Mus musculus: one gene and its partners. The protein of the gene in region 3 purifies or fractionates together with the protein of the main gene of each other region. This does not show direct contact. Links are inferred from orthologs where the notes say so. Each region holds a gene or a part of one and is shown on either strand. Other genes may lie near its edges.

Evidence for each region.
Region 1: the proteins of Polr2g (region 3) and Scaf1 purify together in Homo sapiens (affinity purification with mass spectrometry; 3 studies listed by BioGRID and IntAct, counting the BioPlex papers as one, with this or other methods). This does not show direct contact. The link is inferred for Mus musculus from reciprocal best matches to the Homo sapiens genes POLR2G and SCAF1.
Region 2: the proteins of Polr2g (region 3) and Gpn1 purify together in Homo sapiens (affinity purification with mass spectrometry; 4 studies listed by BioGRID and IntAct, counting the BioPlex papers as one, with this or other methods). This does not show direct contact. The link is inferred for Mus musculus from reciprocal best matches to the Homo sapiens genes POLR2G and GPN1.
Region 4: the proteins of Polr2g (region 3) and Rprd2 purify together in Homo sapiens (affinity purification with mass spectrometry; 3 studies listed by BioGRID and IntAct, counting the BioPlex papers as one, with this or other methods). This does not show direct contact. The link is inferred for Mus musculus from reciprocal best matches to the Homo sapiens genes POLR2G and RPRD2.

The regions. Positions count from the first base shown.
Region 1 is NC_000073.6:45,013,328-45,017,950, reverse strand, and holds the start of Scaf1 (splicing factor, arginine/serine-rich 19), read left to right. Parts: upstream 1-1,701; 5' UTR 1,702-1,871; exon of another isoform or gene 1,872-2,486; intron 2,487-2,546; exon of another isoform or gene 2,547-4,357; 5' UTR 4,358-4,363; coding exon 4,364-4,471; intron 4,472-4,623.
Region 2 is NC_000071.6:31,493,199-31,497,662, forward strand, and holds the start of Gpn1 (GPN-loop GTPase 1), read left to right. Parts: upstream 1-1,542; 5' UTR 1,543-1,574; coding exon 1,575-1,685; exon of another isoform or gene 1,686-2,234; coding exon of another isoform or gene 2,235-2,237; intron 2,238-2,319; coding exon 2,320-2,413; intron 2,414-4,112; coding exon 4,113-4,152; intron 4,153-4,464. UniProt on the Homo sapiens protein: Small GTPase required for proper nuclear import of RNA polymerase II (RNAPII). May act at an RNAP assembly step prior to nuclear import.
Region 3 is NC_000085.6:8,795,540-8,799,837, reverse strand, and holds the start of Polr2g (DNA-directed RNA polymerase II subunit RPB7), read left to right. Parts: upstream 1-1,280; 5' UTR 1,281-1,367; coding exon 1,368-1,379; intron 1,380-1,504; coding exon 1,505-1,614; intron 1,615-2,442; coding exon 2,443-2,602; intron 2,603-4,298. UniProt on the Homo sapiens protein: Core component of RNA polymerase II (Pol II), a DNA-dependent RNA polymerase which synthesizes mRNA precursors and many functional non-coding RNAs using the four ribonucleoside triphosphates as substrates.
Region 4 is NC_000069.6:95,816,032-95,820,696, forward strand, and holds the start of Rprd2 (regulation of nuclear pre-mRNA domain-containing protein 2), read right to left. Parts: upstream 2,923-4,665; 5' UTR 2,721-2,922; coding exon 2,516-2,720; intron 1-2,515.

The sequences.
Region 1 (4,623 bases), on a different chromosome or scaffold from region 3:
TATGCTAATAATACTGCATAAACATGAGCTTTGGCCAGAGGACACGAGTCTCCGGATGCTTCTGGAGGAGGCGAGGCCAGAGTGAGGGAGGAGCTAGACTAATAAGGGTAGGGGAAACAAGGTTGCAAAAACGGGGAATTCCAAGAGGGGTGGGGATATGCTAATGACCCTGTGTCCACCCTAAGCACAGCCACGAGCTCTCCTCCTGCAGTCCGCCTTTGGGAGGAGCTATGCTAATAAACCCCATCTTTGGGCGAAAAAGTTTTCTTCGGGGCGGGGATATGCAAATTAAATGTTGCGGTAGTTATTATCTAAGGACCACTGTTTCTGGTAGGTGTGGCTTGGGGCTCCTTCTCAGGGCCGTATATAGGGAGATCTTAGGACAGCACAGGTCTCAAAATTAATCTCCGCCTCCTCCCTGGGATTGTCGCCAAGTTCTCTGCCCCAGCTTCGTTCTAGAGGCTGGCGTCTCGGCCTGTCTATGGACTTAGGCTTCCGGTTCCCGCTGTCCCAGCCAAACGGAAGATAGACTGGGAGGGGAGCTGGGGCCCTGGAGGGGGACAGCAGGGTAACTGGGCAGGACGGGCTGTGAGATCACCACATTCCTAATCCATGAGCCAGTTCATCCTAGTCGGGAAGTCCGGGTCTAGAAGGGCCGACAGCCAGGATTTCTGGGCTTTGGAAGGATGCGGTTGATAGCTCAGACACTGGTTCCTACGAGAGTATTGAGTTAGAGACTTAGATTTCTCCGGTCCGACTCCGGTCCAGGGGGTCGGGAGGGGCTCCTTACTACTACTGGGAAAGCTGGGAGTCTGGACTCATGGGGCCAAAGGATGGAGAGTCTGGGGACCCAGAATTCTGAGTTCGAGGGCATGAGTGCTCCGGGAGGGTTGTGGAAGAATTTAGCACTTACATTTATGTAAGATATGGTATTGACGTCCTGAAAGGGAAGAGGATTGAAATTCCAGAGTCCCAAGGAAGAGGGAAATGAGTCTTCACTCATCTGCTCTGAACCAGAAGACTCAGAGTTTGGATTTTCCTGTCCTGAGTAAAGGAGCTCTGGTTTGACTCCTGAGTTCTGAATTTAATGGAGATTATTTTAAGTTAAAGCCTATTCTGGACATCTTAGAATGAACTTATCTCAAAACAAACAAACGAAAAGAGGACTATAGATATAGTTTAGTGATAACATAGAACGTTTGTCTACCATGTATGAGCATTTAAATTCAATCTCTAGTTCCCCCCCCCCAATAAATAATTTTAGAAGCTGGGCATGATAACTGACGAGTCCCAGCACTGGGGAAACAGAAGCAGAAAGACAGCAGCAAGTTCCAAGCCCGTCTGAGATACATAAGACAGCGTCTCAAAAAAATCTTCTTAGGATTTATAGGAGAAAAAAATTAGAAGGGTTTCATATTCAGAAAGGACGACCATGGGCGGGGTAGCGTCCATCTTAATTGAACTACAATTCCCATGGATCTCAACAACGGAGCGCCTTTTTTACATCACTTCCTGATCCGCCGCCTTTTTCCCCGCGCACGCAGGACACTGAGGGGGGTCGTACCGCGCGCTCCAGCAGCCCCGCCCACTTCACCTCTCACCCCGTACACTGTCCCCCGCGTGACGGAGTCTTCACACGGACTACATCTCCCGGCATCCAGCGCGCGCACTCCACCTCCATGTGACGCATTGATTTCTGGGAAACGGAGTCGCCTCCGGTGCTGCCGGCCTTTCGGAAACCCAGCTGGGTACTTGAAATCCCGGCAAGCGCCGCGGCAATTTGGTTCCGCCCTTCCCCAGCTCAAATCGCGAGCCCCGCCCCATTCCGCCCCGCCCCGCGCCGGGACCGGAGCCGCAGCCCGAGCGGCGGGGTAAGATGGCGGCGGCGGTCCGGGCCGCGGGGCTCGGGCCTATCGGGGTGGGCGGGGCGGAGTCGGGTCGCTAGTCGTCTCCGAGTGTCGCCCGTATGCCACGGGGCCTGGAGAGCGTAGCGTGGCACCTTCGGACCCGGCTGCAGCGGCCAAGGCAGTCTCTGAGTAGGGGGCCTTCTTAGGGCCCCGGACGCGCCCGTGGGTGCCAGAGGGCTTTCGTATGGCCTGGACCGCGACTAGGCCGGCCCTCCTTCCCATTGCTGAGCCTGGACACGTCTGCAGGCGCCGTAGATGGTTTTTATGTGCGACCGTAGGCTAGGGTCTGTTGAGAGGCTTTTGGGGCCATCTTGAGATCTTCACTCCCCCAGGAGTTAAGGGGGTCTGCAGAGTCACCTAGTTCACTGGGGTGTATTTGTTAGGGCTGGGAAGTCTCTCCTCATGCTGGCCTCTGCATTCGGCTCATCTACATGGATCTGGGACCATTTATGAGGCCTGGAAGCTCTCTTCAAGGACTAGGAAGTGTTAAGGTCCACCTGGAAGAAAGAGATGTACTCCCACCTAGGGAGAGGGAAGCAAGCTTTGTGATGTGCCCAGAGGCATAAATGAGTCGCTAAGGTCTGGGAAGTGTTTTATGTGGGGGTGACTCGGAGATAGGGGTGGGTGGGGTAGGGTGGGGTAGTTTGAAGGAACTAGAATCGTCCAATGATTGCAAGAATACAGTCTATGTCTTGGAGGAAATTCAAGTGCTTTTGAAGAGTAGATAAATGTGTAGAGAATAATAACAGAAAACGCTGGGAATTTTATCCAGCTCAAATGTACTTGCCTTTCAGAAAGTAATTAAAAAGAAAATGGTTTCAAACAAAAAAGAACCTGTGTTGTCCCCATGCTGAGGAGTTAGAATCATTCCTGAGGGTCTGTAGAGCTGTCTGGGATCATCTAGTGCAGTGCTCTGCAACTTGACCTTGATAGGAAGGGAAAAAATGCATTATTCGATGAGATTAAGTGCATGCCAACATATGTATTTTACTAATATTACTCCAGTCCTGCAAACTCATGGTTCCATTTGAAACTTGGAAAGTATTTTCCATTATGTTTTATGTACTTTGTGTAATGAGCTGTTTGTGAATCACTAAATTGCTCCCAGAGCCCTGTAATTGAGGGATCACCGATCTCACATGGTCTGCAGAGCCTTACAAGGTCTATGGTTTTGGGGATCTCCAAATCTGCAGCCAGGATCTCTTGGTACAATTTCTTTTCTGTGACAGTCAGTGCTTTGGATAAGATGTGTATCAGACTGTGAGAGAGCATCCTCAGAGCTGGGAATTATTGCTATACAGGGTAGGAAAGTCTTGAATGTTAGCTTAGAGAAGCTTGGATATGGTAGGGGGGCCATCAGTAAGGTATGCCTGAGGGAATCAGGAAGAAGCTGAAGGTTTGGAGAGCTGGAGCTGGGGGGGGTTGTGGAGGCCAAGGTATAGTTTCAGAGTAGGACTGAGACCAGGGCTGAGGCCAAAAGGCGAAACCTGGTCGAAGGGCTACTGATAGAATTATTGCTAATGTGTATCCAGCCATTTATATGTGGAAACCAGTGTGAGAGATACTACTATTTTGCCATTTTCAGATAAGCGCTAGTGTGGTTTAGGGAGCCTAGGGCTTTTAGGAATTCCAAGATTAGGTGTTTTCAGAGTAGCAGGTTTGACAGCTGTGGGGAGGTTTACAGCTGTGATGTTCATGTTTTCTGAAGCCTCAATCAAGACATCCACCAGTCTGAAGGATGCTCTTTCAACTACCTGACTGGGCACTCAAAGCTCAGAATTCCCGTGACATCACCGAGGCTTTGGCCATGCTTCCACAGGACAGGCAGCTGGGTGATAGGCAAGTGTCCCAATGGGGCTGGGAGGACAGCATGCCTTTCTGAAACTTGGCATTTTTGTTTTAAAAGCGGTGTGGTGGTTATGTAGATCATACTATCATAGTTGTATCTCGTGGCTGTAAATAAAGCTCTTGGGCTCCTCATCATGGAGGATAATGAATGCTGTGTGAACCTACGGTACCTGTTACAGAGTACCCCTGAGCATGTCGGCACATTCCCCGCTGTGGGGAAGGTGGCTTTCTGAGACTGAAGCACGACGCTCTTAAAATCATGACACCCGAAGTCAGGGTTGAGTTTGCATCTATTTGACTGGGTTGGGTAATTAATTGGAGGTTTGCCTAGGAGCATTGGGAAGCTGTGGGCAGTGGAGGGCCAGGTGTTGGAGCAGGTGGCTGAGCGGTCCTCCCATTGATGGGGAGGCAGCCGAAATCCAGAAGAAGGATAAGAATGGCTCTAGTCCCTGCAGGTCAGCGTGGGACCACGGACAAGGTCATCAGGAATGAGGCGGAAGAGAGGGACACTAAAGCAGGATGCACTGGGGGCCCTTGAGGTCTTCCTTCACCTCTGACCTGCCTCCCTCAGCCTTCACTTCAAACTGTTGCCTCAACCCCAGGTGACCATGGAGGAGGAAGATGAGTCTCGAGGTAAAACAGAGGAGTCGGGAGAGGATCGGGGAGACGGTCCACCTGACAGAGATCCTGCCCTTTCTCCTTCTGCCTTTATTTTGGTAAGAAAGCTGGGTGCAGTGAGGCCTGGAGGCCTAGGTTCTCATGCTCTGAAGTATGGGCTGGGGGTTCAGGCCCTGAACCAGGCCTTCAGGAAGAATTGGGGTTCTTTGTGGACTCTGGCTGCCGGGTGCCTGGAATGTGCTTTCCAAAC
Region 2 (4,464 bases), on a different chromosome or scaffold from region 3:
CTGATGCCACAGCCAGGAGTTGGGTCAGTAATTACAGGTGTTTACAGCCAATCTTTCCAACCTGAATTCCATCTCTGAGACTCACATGGTGGGGAGTGAACTAACTGAACTGTATGGGTACTGCCAGAAAAATAATGTTACCTGAATCCCTGCCAGAAAGTAACACAAGCCAGACAGTGGTGCCCAGAGAGGGCCTGAGTCAGGAAAGGAGAATCACTATCCATTTGGTATGGTACGTTGCTCACTGATCCTGGAGCTCATTAATTTGGCTAAGCTAGCTGGCCACTGAGCTCCAGGGATTCTCCCATCTCTAGCTCCCTAGCACTGGGATTATAGGCACAATCCACAATGCCTGGGCTTTTATGTGAGGGCAGGGGTCTGAATTCTGGCCCTTAAGTTTGTGCAGCAAGCACCTTACTAACTGAGCCCTCTCCACAGCCTGCACATGTCATAATAAAATGAGATATCTATGTATAGATATATACAAACTTTTTGTTCTTTAAGAGTTTTATCCACGGGGGCTGGTGAGATGGCTCAGCGGGTAAAAGCACCCGACTACTCTTCCGAAAGTCCGGAGTTCAAATCCCAGCAACCACATGGTGGCTCACAACCACCCATAATGAGATCTGACTCCCTCTTCTGGAGTGTCGGAAGACAGCTACAGTGTACTTACATATAATAAATAAATAAATCTTAAAAAAAAAAAAAAGAGTTTTATCCACTTTCCAAGAATGTCAACAAAACCCAGGGCCACCCTTGACTCCTAGCCCTTTACCTCACTCTTAAAGGGGACTTTTTAGGAGTTTTCTGGTTCCCTTGAGCCTTTGGTTCACCATCTTTTCTTCTTCCCTTGGACAAATAGCCATACAGATGAGCAAATAAGACATTGGTCACAGTCTCTGTCATACAGGGCTTTCCCTCATGAGGTTCGTCTCCCTTCCTCTACCCATATCTTCCGGTATTAATTATTCAGCCACACTTCAGCCACAAACGCTGTAAGGTTCTTTAGTCCCCTTTGCATTAGGCAATGATTGCCAGAAAATGTATCTTCCTCTGTTAAAGTACAGTATTCATGCTATCTTTCAAGTGTTACGCTAATTTTTACCTAATATTTTCTAGAACATAATGACGTTTAATTTTTTTCTTCTTCTTCTTAGACAATAAAATAAAAGGTAGAGCAACACCTTTGTTATAGGATCCTGACAGATCCTGGCTTGGGAATCCCACCTCATTACTCCCTTGGGGACACGAGCTTAACCCTTTCCGGGTCCTATCTCACTCCTGTCAACCCTTCCTGGTTCCCTACACTACCCCTCACTTGTGCAAAGCCACTATAGCATCAAAGTGACCCCTGCAAGTCAGATGCCAAAAGCCGGTCAGGCACCCACTGCAGTAGGTTCGAGCGGTTTGGATAGTCTGGCCAATCGCAACCCTAAACTCAGAGAGGCCGGATCGTTCGACCAATCGTAGCCCTGTACGCAAGAGGACGGATTTTCCTACCAATCGCAGCCCGGAATTCAGAGAGCCCGCAGGCCGCCGGGCGATCCCTGAGTGGTGGGCGTGGCTGAGGAAAGATGGCGGCGCCCGTGGCTCCATCCGAACCCCAGGCTTCCCGGGCTCCTCAGCCCCCCGTGTGTCTGTTGGTGTTGGGAATGGCGGGATCCGGGAAAACTACCTTTGTACAGGTGACGTGCACCGTGCAGAAGCGGTAGTGGCGCCTCAGGCCCGGGAAGAAGGGAGGAAGTTGTCTGGGGAATCTGCGGGTCCGGGCGCGTGGTTTTCTCGAGCTGTCCTCTGACTCCTTTCCTTCCCGAAGCCTCGAACCCTAGCCTGGGTCACTTGAGGCCGGCTCCTGGGCAACCTTAATGCACACTTGGTACAGCTGAACTTGTCTTGCTGCGAATTGGCAGCTTTCCGAAGGCCCGGGCCTAAAGAGTAGGGGAGTGTAACGTCTACTACTCTGGTTTGCGTGAAGAGTTGTGAAAGAATCACTTCGTTCGACCTACCACGTTCTAAGCTCTGAGAGTACAGCGGCAATGAGATCGACAGGGTTCTTGCTTTCACGGAGTGAGTGTTTTAGTGGAGGAGACAGAGGAAGAAAACCCTTGGAGGGGCAGAGTTAGCGAAGCCGTGACGGAGAATAGGGAGACAGGTACTGGAACTAGATGGCTTTTTAAACTCTTCAGTGTTGAACACGCTGAGGGAAGAAGGAGATTGTTACAGATTTTATAAGCATGGTCAGTAAAGGGATGGGAATTCTCGGGGCCCGTTCCTATCCTTTGGTCATCACCCTCCAACCCTGGCTCCTTGTTTTTGCAGAGGCTCACAGGACACCTGCACAACAAAGGCTGTCCACCGTATGTAATCAACCTGGACCCAGCTGTGCATGAAGTCCCCTTTCCCGCCAATATTGGTGAGTGCCTGCCTGCCTGCTTGCTTGATTTCCTTTTCTTGTCTTTTCTTTCTAAGCTAGCTAACTATGTACTTTTCTTTTCTGTGGATTTGCCTGAGTTCCGGAACAGGCTTCTTGCTTATGCAGATTTATCCCTCTTATGCACTATCCCCGCTCACCTCTCTCTCATGCCCTCGGTGTGTGAAACCGTTGAATTGGTTTGAGAATGAGACATGACATTAGGTCGGGCTGTCACCTGACACGTGAATCCTTTGGTTTCTTTTGTCAGAGTTTATAAGATTTGCTGTAATTCACTTTATAGGCAGGTTCCTTCCATTTCCAAAGTTGTGTGTGTGGGGTGTGTGTGTAAGAATATGCACTGTTCTGAGGAGAGCTTTCTGATTGAGACTATCAAAAAGATTTAAGTATTGGTGTGATCCAAGGGAGCCTGAGGCAGAATATTTAGAGTTCAGAGTCAGTCCGACTTGCATAGCCAGACCTCGTTTGGAAAAGAAAAGGTGGGCGTGGGGGTAGATTTGTTATCAAAGTGTCTGTGATCCACTAACAGGGCTCTTGGATGTCCAGGCTTCCTGACTCCTAGGCCTTAACTGTCAGGGCTAGGGTATGAAGCTTTCTTACCCCAAATACACAAATTGGGTAGGGAATCTTGTTTTGAGAATCATAGGTTAGGTCAGGCGGTGATGGCTCACGCCTTTAATCCTAGCACTCAGGAGGAAGACACAGGCAGATCAGTTCTAAGACTGCCAGGGCTACACAGAGAAACAAGAACAAACAACAACAACAACAAAAATCATTGATCATTTTGGGATTATAGGGCAACAAATTTTCTATTTAAACTAGAGGATAAATATGTGATATTATTAATTTACAGACTGGTGGGTAGGTTTGTTTTTATTCATTTTTATTTAATGTGTATGGGTGTTTTGCCACATGCGTGTCTGCGTCTGTGTGTGTCTGGTTCCTGCAGAGGCCAGAAGAGGGCACCAGGACCCCTGGAACTGGATCTACAGAGAGTTGTGAGCTGCCCTGTGAGTGCTGGGAACTGAATCTGGGTCCTCTACAAGAGCTTCAAGTGCTCTTAATCACTGAGCATCTCCAACCCCTGGGGGGTAGGTTGTAGTCGTTCTTAGTAGACAGGCTTATAGTTCCGATGTCTGTGAATTGCCGTCATTACCATGCAGCCACTAGTAAGAAGTCTTTGCTTATTTTGTTTTTGTATGTTGGTATTCCTGTGCATATGCCCACTGCCACTGAAATTGTCCAAAACCTGTAATGTTGTTCTAGACAGTATCTATCATAGCTAAGAGCTTTTGGCCTAACCTTTTCTTTGTTTGAGACAAGGTCTCTCTGTGTGGTCCTGACTGTCTTGGAATTGCTCTAGATTAGGCCAGTCTTGAACTCACAGAGATCCACTTGCCTCTGTCTCCTGAGCCCTCGGATTAAAGGTGTTTGCCACCACGCCCTGGAGCGAAACATTCTTCCTGGGGTACTACTTGGCAGTTATCTTTAGTCAGGAAGAAAGTGTGGAGGAAGGGATAAGAAAATGCTGGTAAGATACGGTGGCACTTGTACAATCTCAGCGCTCAGGAGACTGAGGAAGGAGAGCAGCTCGGGCCACCTGGGAAGCGCAAAGTCAGTCCAGACAAGTGAGGTCATGCTCTAAAGTAAGCCGTTCTCTCTTTCTCTCTTTCCCCCTCAGATATCCGAGACACAGTGAAATATAAAGAAGTCATGAAGCAGTATCCTTTTCCTCATCTGCTGCGAGACTGACTCGGTCATGGCAAACTGCTGTCTTTCATTGCTTTGGGGGAGTGGCTTTGCCTGTCAAGTTGTGACAATACAAGTAGAAAACTCACGTCCTTTTAGGTAATCGTATTAAGAGGATAAGATGAGGGCTGGTGAGATGGCTCAGCAGGTAAGAACACTGACTGCTCTTCCAAAGGTCCTGAGTTCAAATCCCAGCAACCACATGGTGGCTCAAAACCATCCGTAAAGAGATCTGACGCCCTCTTCTGGAGTGTCTGAAGACAGCTACAGTGTACATTATTTAT
Region 3 (4,298 bases):
ATAATAAAACCCTGTCCCTCAAATAGAAAAGAAAGTAAGCCTAGTGCATGCCTGCAGACATAATCTTTTTGTTTGTTTGCTGTCTTTTTGGGGTTTTTTTGTTTTGTTTTGTTTTTTAAGACAGCCTTGTTTATGTGCCCCTGGCTGTCCTGGAACTCACTCTGTAGACCAGGCTGGCCTCAAACTCAGAAATTCACTTGTCTCTGCCTTCCAAGTGCTGGGATTAAAGGCGTGCGCCATCATGCCCAGCTAAGTGATTTCTTTTTAATTATGTGTACTTAATAATGTATGCTACCTATGTGTGAGTATGAGCCTATGAGTACTGGTACCTTCTGAGGCTACGAGAAGATTTCAGGTCCCCTTAGAGCTGGAGTTGTGAAATGCTAGTGTTAGTAACTGAACTCAGGTCCTCTTTGAGAGCTTTATTTTTATTTACATGTAAAAAAAAAAAAAACCGTTATTCTTATTTTATATGTGTGAGTGTTCTGGCTACAGCTATGTCTGTTCACCACAAGGGTGCTGTGTTCATGGAGGCCAGAGGGCACTGGATCCCCTGGGATTGAAGTATAGATAGAGAGTTGAGTCAGCATGCTTGTGCTGGGAATCAAACCTGGATCCTTTGGAAGAACAATCATATCCCCAGCTGCCTAGCCTTTCTTTTTATTTTACAAGCATGGGTGTTCTGCCTGTATGTGTGTTTGGGTACCACTCACATGCAGTGCTGAAGGAAGCCAGAAGAGGATGTCAGCTCTCCCTGAGCTGGAGTTACAAAGAAGAGTGTGAGCTACCCTGTGGGTGCTGGGAATTAAATCCTGGACCTCTGCAAGAGGAGCAAGTGCTCTTAAGGACTGAGCTATTTCTTCAGCCCCCAAATTAAATAATAATAATTTTTTGGTTTTTTTTAAATATGTGTAAATGTTTTACAGGGTTGTATACACAGCCCAGGTTACCCTGGAACTCACTTTGTAGCTGTGGCTTAGCCTTAAGTTTAGAGATCTGTTTGCCACGGCTGGGTTTAAGGGCATGTGGTAAAAGTCAGACCTAAAATAACTCACATTTTTTGGTTGGTTTTGGTTTTGGTTTTGGTTTTGGTTTTGGTTTTGGTTTTAGTTTTGGCTTTGGTTCTTCGAGGCCGGGTTTTTCTCTGTAATCCCGGCTGTCCTAGAATTTGCTTTAAGTAGGAGGGGAGTATGAACGGTGGTGGGCAGGCCTGAGGGGCGGGGCTTCATGTATCCCCGCCCATGACGTTAAGACTCAATCAGCGCTGCGGAAGCGACCGCAGAGAAGTGGTGGGACTTCTGCAAGTGCTTCCGGAGAGGTCTCTGCGTGGGAAGTTCTGGGCGCTGCGGGCCAAGCTTCTGCAGAAGATGTTTTATCACGTGAGCTGGATGCGGGGTAACTGTGAGGGGCAGTCACAGGAGGATCCTGGAGGCCCGGAAGGGCCGACAGGTCGCCTCCTGTCCTCAATGTGGCTGGCTGAGTCTCCATCTTCCTTTCTCTGCAGATTTCCCTGGAGCACGAGATCCTCCTGCACCCACGATACTTCGGTCCAAACTTGCTCAACACGGTGAAGCAGAAGCTGTTTACCGAGGTGGAGGGGACCTGCACTGGGAAGTGAGTTTCTGCTTCACAGAGAGGTCTGCTGAATGCACGCACAATGGCGCTAGTCTCTAACCTCTTCTTAACTCCTTCTGTCAGGGCTTGTCGCTTACTCTGAGGAACCCTTTCACCCCTCCAGGCACCTGAAGCAGCCAGTTTTTGCCTGTTTTAGACACTCTGAAAAGCTACTAAAGAAAATTTTCTTCCCTTATGTGAGATAAGACCGTTATTATGCAAATGTTTTTGAGTTTTGAGATGGCCTCACTATGTGGACCAAGCTGGGCTCTAATTCAGAGATCTGCCTGCCACTGAGTGCTGACATTAAAGGCTTTCATCACAATTCTCTGACTCGTTTGTGGTTTTTGAAAGACCTGTCTCAGCTTTGACCCTGGCAAGTCCTCCTGCCTTAGCCTACATGGTACTGAGAGAATAGGTGTATGTCAGCATATCTAGGCCTTCTTGGGCATTTACTGTACCATCATGAGAGCATCATTTAATATTTCATGTGCTAAGCTGGTCGGGGGTGGCGCATGCCTTTAATTCCAGCACTTGGGAGGCAGAGGCAGGTGGATTTCTGAGTTCAAGGCCAGCCTGGTCTAAAGAGTGAGTTCCAGGACAGCCAGCGCTACACAGAGAAACTCTGTCTCGAAAAAACATATATATGTGTGTGTGTGTGTGTGTGTGTGTGTATATATATATATATATATTTAGGTGCTAATCTGTGTCCTGTCTCTTCTTGATCAATGAACCATCTGAACAGAGGTTCTTTCACACAGAGACTCTTATTGCTGGTGGCTTTTCAGAGGCTCTTCACATAGCTGTCTTCTTTCATTTTTCATGCAGATATGGCTTTGTAATTGCTGTCACCACCATCGACAATATTGGTGCTGGTGTGATCCAGCCAGGCCGAGGTTTTGTTCTTTATCCAGTGAAATACAAAGCTATTGTTTTCCGGCCCTTTAAAGGTGAAGTGGTGGATGCTGTGGTCACTCAGGTCAACAAGGTAAGAGTATTATTCATAGAAAGGTTATGGGGTATTTCCTAAGGTGAGGGTTCAGTCCCTAGTCCACTTACTAGTTGCCTTAAGTCTTTTGTTGTTGTTAAGATTCATTTTATCTTAGTTTTTTGGTTTTTCTTTTCTGGTTTTAGGGTTTTCTTTTTTCTTTTCTTTTCTTTTCTTTTCTTTTTTTTTTTTTTTTTTTTTTTTTTTTGAGACAGGGTTTCTCTGTGTAGCCCTGGCTCTCCTGGAACTCACTCTGTAGACCAGGCTGGCCTCGAACTCAGAAATCCACCTGCCTCTGCCTCTCAAGTTAAAGGCATGTGCCACCACTACCCAGCAGGTTTTTTGTTTGTTTGTTTGGTTGGTTGGTTGGTTGGTTTGATTTTTTGTTTGTTTGTTTGTTTTTGTTTTTAGAGACAGGGTTTCTCTGTGTAGTCCTGGCTGTCAGTTTTGTACTTTTGTTTTTGAGGCAGGGATTCACTGTGTAGCCCTGGCTGTCCTGGAACTTACCCCATAGACCAAACTAGCCTTAAACTCAGACATCCACTTACCTCTGCCTCCTGAGTGCTGGGATTAAAGACACGAGCCACCACCACCCAGCAATTTATTTTAATTTTAACTATGTGTACTTGTATGTTATCTGGGGTGAGTGCAAGCCCATGAGTGCTGGTACCTTCTGAAGCTTCAAGAGGGTTTCAGGTCCCCTCCTACCTGGAGTTGTGAGACCCTGGATATGGATGCTAGGAATTGAACTCAGGTCCTCTGCAAGCACGGTTATGCACTCTTAATTATTTAGCCATCTCTTCAGTCCCTTAGGTCACTTTTTGGTTCTTCACTTTCCTTAACTGTCTTTCCATCTAACTTAGCTGGGGGTGTCTTCTGAATTACAGAAGTAGTCGTGCTACAATAGAAATCTGCATTGACTGAGTCGTTACTGTTGACTGATAGTATGCAAACTACCCCCTGACTCTTTTTTTTTTAAGGGTTTTTTTTTTTTTAAAAGATTTATTTATTTACTATATGTAAGTACACTGTAGCTGTCTTCAGACACTCCAGAAGAGTGAGTCAGATCTCGTTATGGATGGTTGTGAGCCACCACATGGTTGCTGGGATTTGAACTCAGGACTTTTAGAAGAGCAGTCGGGTGCTCTTACCCACTGAGCCATCTCACCAGCTGCCCCCTGACTCTTTCTTTCTCCACTCTCCTCTCCAGACCTGAAGATCAAACCCAGGGTCGTACAATTCAGCTAAATTTCCAAGCCCAGGCCTTTCTTCGTTTATTTGTTTGCTTTTGTTTTTTTGAAACAGGGTCTCACTATGTAGCCAAGGCTGGCCTTGAACTCACTTTGTAGCTCTGGCTAACTTTTTTTTTTTTTTTTTTTTTTTTTTTTTTTTTTATTATATGTAAGTACACTGTAGCTGTCTTCAGACATTCCAGAAGAGGGAGTCAGATCTCATTATGGATGGTTGTGAGCCACCATGTGGTTGCTGGGATTTGAACTCCTGACCTTCGGAAGAGCAGTCGGGTGCTCTTACCCACTGAGCCATCTCACCAGCCCTCTGGCTAACTTTAAACACACAGATTTGCCTGCCTCTGCCTCCTAAGTGATAGGATTAAACGCTTTGCCACCTTGACTGGCTGTATGGATGTTTTGTCTTGTCTGCATGCATGTTTCTTTTGTTTTGTTTTGTTTTTTTG
Region 4 (4,665 bases), on a different chromosome or scaffold from region 3:
CCAGCCTGGTTTACAGAGTGAGTTCCAGGACAGCCAGAACTATACAGAGAAACCCTGTCTCCAAACAAACAAACAAAAAAGAAAACATCTCCTGATATCTCTAGTACAGTCACTTACATTTAACCAAGACCTAAATGACTAAATAATGGATGTCATAGGAAAAGGAAGAAGCAAGAGTAGCCTCAGGGAAATGGACAGAAAGACTGGGAATGCTTGAGCAAACTTAGCAACTCTGTGAAGGTCTAAACATTAGGTGAAAATACTGGCCTAATACAACAGCCATTTGCATCCTAGCCTTCACCACTCTGGCTTTATTCCTGAGGTAGATATTTATCACCTGTAAACACAAATGTCCACAAATTATTCTTAGCCATTTTAGAAAGTTTAAGTTTCACTCCACTATGAAACTGATAGCAGGCTTTAAAAAGTCAAATACATTTCACTTCATTTAAATTATGTAGAATCCACTTTTCAGATAAAAAAATTACCCTCCTACTCTTAGTACCAACAAAGGAAATAAACTCAGACACAAACAACAACAAAGACAGGGAAAATTCTGGTCCTAGCATTTCTCATTATGCCTGACTAGAAAAAAAAAAGTGTAATTGTCACTTGTGATCCCACAACGCAGAGATAGGGGCCAACTTATTCTTGAAAATATATAACCACAGGGTTAAAACACTGGAGACCAACAGTAAGGAATGTAAAAATGCTTCATAGTTTGGTAAAATGATTTAAAACGGTGGAAGATGTCCCCACATCAGCACTGCTTACTACACTGATACACTCAATACACCAAGCACCATCTCACAAAGCTAACAACAGAGCCCAACCTTAACCACATCGCTTTACTGAGTAACCTTTCGCAACCTGACATTTCTGAGCCCTAGGTTCCTCATATGCAATTCAACAGACTATAAAGTATATTAGAAGGACTAAGGAAATGGCTGGCATGTGGCAGATACATAATATGTGAGTCTTTGAAGGTGACAGATATTGCAGATTCTAGTTTAACCTCTTGGCAAGAAGTAAACAAACAAACAAAAAATCTGACAATAATAAATAAAGACTAAGCCGGGTGTGGTGGCGCACGCCTTTGATCCCAGCACTCGGGAGGCAGAGGCAGGTGGATTTCTGAGTTCGAGGCCAGCCTGGTCTACAGAGTGAGTTCCAGGACAGCCAGGGCTATACAGAGAAACCCTGTCTCAAAAGACCAAAATGATAATAATAATAATAATAAAAAAGACTAGCTAATCCTGTCCTTTCTCTCGAATATCCTTCTCAACAGTATATTTCAAAGAACCACAGAACAACTGTCTTAAATACAAAAGATTTTAAATTTGGGGCCTATAATTTTGAAGTTTTATCCACTTGTTCACTAACAAGTAAACTCAAAAAATATTATAGAAGCGAAGACAGACATGGAATAAGAAAACTGTTAACTGAGTACCACTGGCAAGAGGCTATATAGATAGGAAGCAAACAACTTGAATAAATATGTATGGAGTTGGGGTTATAATTGCTTAAAATTTACTGGGTAGAACAAGCTGGCCTCAAACTTTCAGCAATCCTCCTGCCTCAGCCTCTGAAACGACATGGGCCACCACGCCCAGTTTAACAATTCATATTTTAGAAGACCTCTTTTCTGTATTAAAGCAGTGTTGTGGGGAGAACCACACAGGTTGAAAAAAAAAAGTATACTTGAGATGGGGGTTATATCTAAAACAGATAAATATATTTTAAAATTCACATTTCCCATTTTGATTGCCTATGCAAACAAACTCAATTCTGTAAAGTGTGCTTCAGGAGATTAAAAAGTGGCCGGATATATTTTATACTTCGGTACCAATGATGATTACAGTCTCGCAGTTGTGTCTCGTCAGTATCCCGTGGTCTGTATTTTAGTGTTGCAAACACAGGTAAAAGGAAAACAGGTGGTCGCCTCACAGCTCTGTAGAGTTCCTATTGCTTCACATTCATCCAGGGAAAGCCTCCTTAAAACACACGCCAAGTTTCACCCACAGTCATCAAGAGAAGGCCCCTTTCTAGACATATCCCAAGTTTCACGTCGGCGGAAAACACTGCCTGGTCTAACATATTTCAGGGAAGTGGACAGCTTAAACCATGGCTTGACTAGCCAACAGGAAACCCAGAGATCATTAACACGTCAAGGCCTGTAAGAAATAAACGGACGCGACCATTTCCGTGAAGGTTCAGGATAATCAACAACACACCTTCCAGGGCTCGGAAGGAAACGCGAAAATCTCTACGGGTCTAGGCCCAACGGCCCAAGGTCACGCCAAATGTGAGGCTGAAAAATTCCAAGCAATGAGCCCCCTGCAGAGCAGGGCAACCGTGCCTAGGATGGAGTCTGGGCTAGGGAACACTCGCGCCCGATCTTTAATGTGAACCCCAACTGAATGCAGCAGCTCGGTGGGCAAACCCCAGAGTGTTTTGGGGGCCGCATTTTCTCCATCTCTCCAGCCTCCCCCTTCCTAGTCGCCCCCACACTCACATCTCCGGAGCCACTTCATCCAATGGTAGACGATTGTACTGTGGTGTTTCTTGTTTTCTATACACCAGGACGACAAGCCTTGAATGGATTCCATGGTGTTGGTCACCGACTGGAATTTTCGATCCAACGAAGACTCCAGGGCCCCTGCGGACGAGGCCGACGAGGAGGAGGCCTTACTGCTGCCTCCGCCGCCGCCGGCCGCCATCTTCCCCGGTTTGCACAAGCGCCTCTGGTCCTCTGGCGGCGGCGGCGGCGGCGGCGGCGGGAGCGGGCAAAACAATCAGTGCGAGTGCGTGAAAGCAGCAGGAGGGGAGGGCGGCCAGGGGGTGGGGACGCTGCACGCGCTAGGCTCCTCTGGCGGCAGGAGGGCTAGCTGCTGGGCGCGCTGGCGGCTCCCACACGCTGCGAGGAGGGGCCGCGGCCGCGGAGGACTGTCAGTATGGCTCGGGGGTGGTGTTTAAACCGGGAGTCGGGAGACGACTACGGAGGAGACAGAACCTGCGACGGCGCCGACAACTAAGGCTTTTAGCCTCTACGCTCCTCAACTCTTAAGGCCCTTCCCTCATCCCGTTGGCCAAATTCCGGTGAGCCCAGGGCGGCCTTGGTACCGAAGACGAAACGCTACTCCGCCGTCCCTTCGGCTGCAGAGAGCTTTGCCTTTAGATTTTCTACCACAGGAAAGGCCCAAAGCTACCTAGGCAGAAAATTTTCTTTCTTTTTTTTTTTTTCTTTTCTTTTTTTTTTTTTTCTTTTTTCTTTTTTTTTTTTTTTTTTGCAACGCAATAGCAGCAATAGACCAGCAGAAGAAATGCGCACGCGCACGGAAGCCCCGCCCCTCCGCTTCCTCCTCAATCTTGAGCACGGGGGCCGAGGGGGCGTGATGGCGCTGCGATTCGACCAATCAGGGAAGGGGGTCGGAGAAGCGCGTCGGGACCTGAAGGCGGAGGAGGCGCTGCGTCTCTCTGTGCGCCTGCGCGTTAGGTCTGCGCCTAGCGGGTTGGGAGGAAAACCTGGGGAGGCAGGATTGAGGCGCTCCGGAGCCTAGGACGTTACTAGACCCCAGTTCAGTGCTCGGCCCTGCTTTTGGCTTCATGGCGGGGTTGCTCCCTGGGAGCCTTTAATTCACACTAGGATGGGAAATGCCCACCGTTCTGTGGCTACTGTTTTTGACAGCTGCAGCTGCGTTCCCTGCCACCCCGCCATCGGGGACCTACACGCGACAAAATGGCTGGCACGTCTTGCGGAGTGGGGGAAGACGCGCATGCGTCAGGCCCTGTTAGCTGTTCTCTAGGCACTCCTTGACTAACCTATGCTACACGCCCGACTGCGATGACACCGTTCACAGCCAGCCGACCGACTGCATTCTAGAAAGAGGGAATAAAAGTTAAACGAAAATTTCTCTGAAAAGTCTTCGAAGCGAGGAAAGAGTAATTGACAAGGTGTGGCTTCTTTGCTAGGTAGTAACATCACAATTTCGTAATGCGTTATAGGTTTGTTTTTGTTTTTTCGAGACAAGGTTTTTCTGTGTAGCCCTGGCCGTCCTGGAACTCACTCTGTAGACCAGGCTGGCCTCGAACTCAGAAATCCACCTGCCTCTGCCTCCCAAGTGCTGGGATTAAAGACGTGCACCACCACTGCCCTGTGCGTTACAGTTTACAAGAGTCTTGAGTATTGTGTTTATTAGCACAGCCTCAAATTAACCATTATGGGCTGGAGAGATGGCTCAGCACGTAGGAGCACTGACTGCTCTTCCAAAGGTCCTGAGTTAAAATCCCAGCAACCACATGGTGGCTCACAATCATCCTTAATAAGATCTGACGCCCTCTCTGGTGTGTCTGAAGACAGCTACAGTGTACTTAGATATAATAATAAAGAAAATCTTTTTAAAAAATTAACCATTACATTCTCATCTGCCTGTGTGAATCTTTTGAGAAGATTGGACGTTCATGTATTCCTATTGAACACAGGAACTTCATTTTAATTATGCCAACTCAACGGAAAGGTTTTTGAGGCAAGGAGCCTGTTTCATCATTTAAAATTAATATCTCTGTGCCAAGAACTGTTTTAGGATTAGGGAAATGATGGCAAAGCAGACAAAAATTACTCCGCCTTGATTTGGTATCAGGACCAAACCACAAGCATGTGTCAGG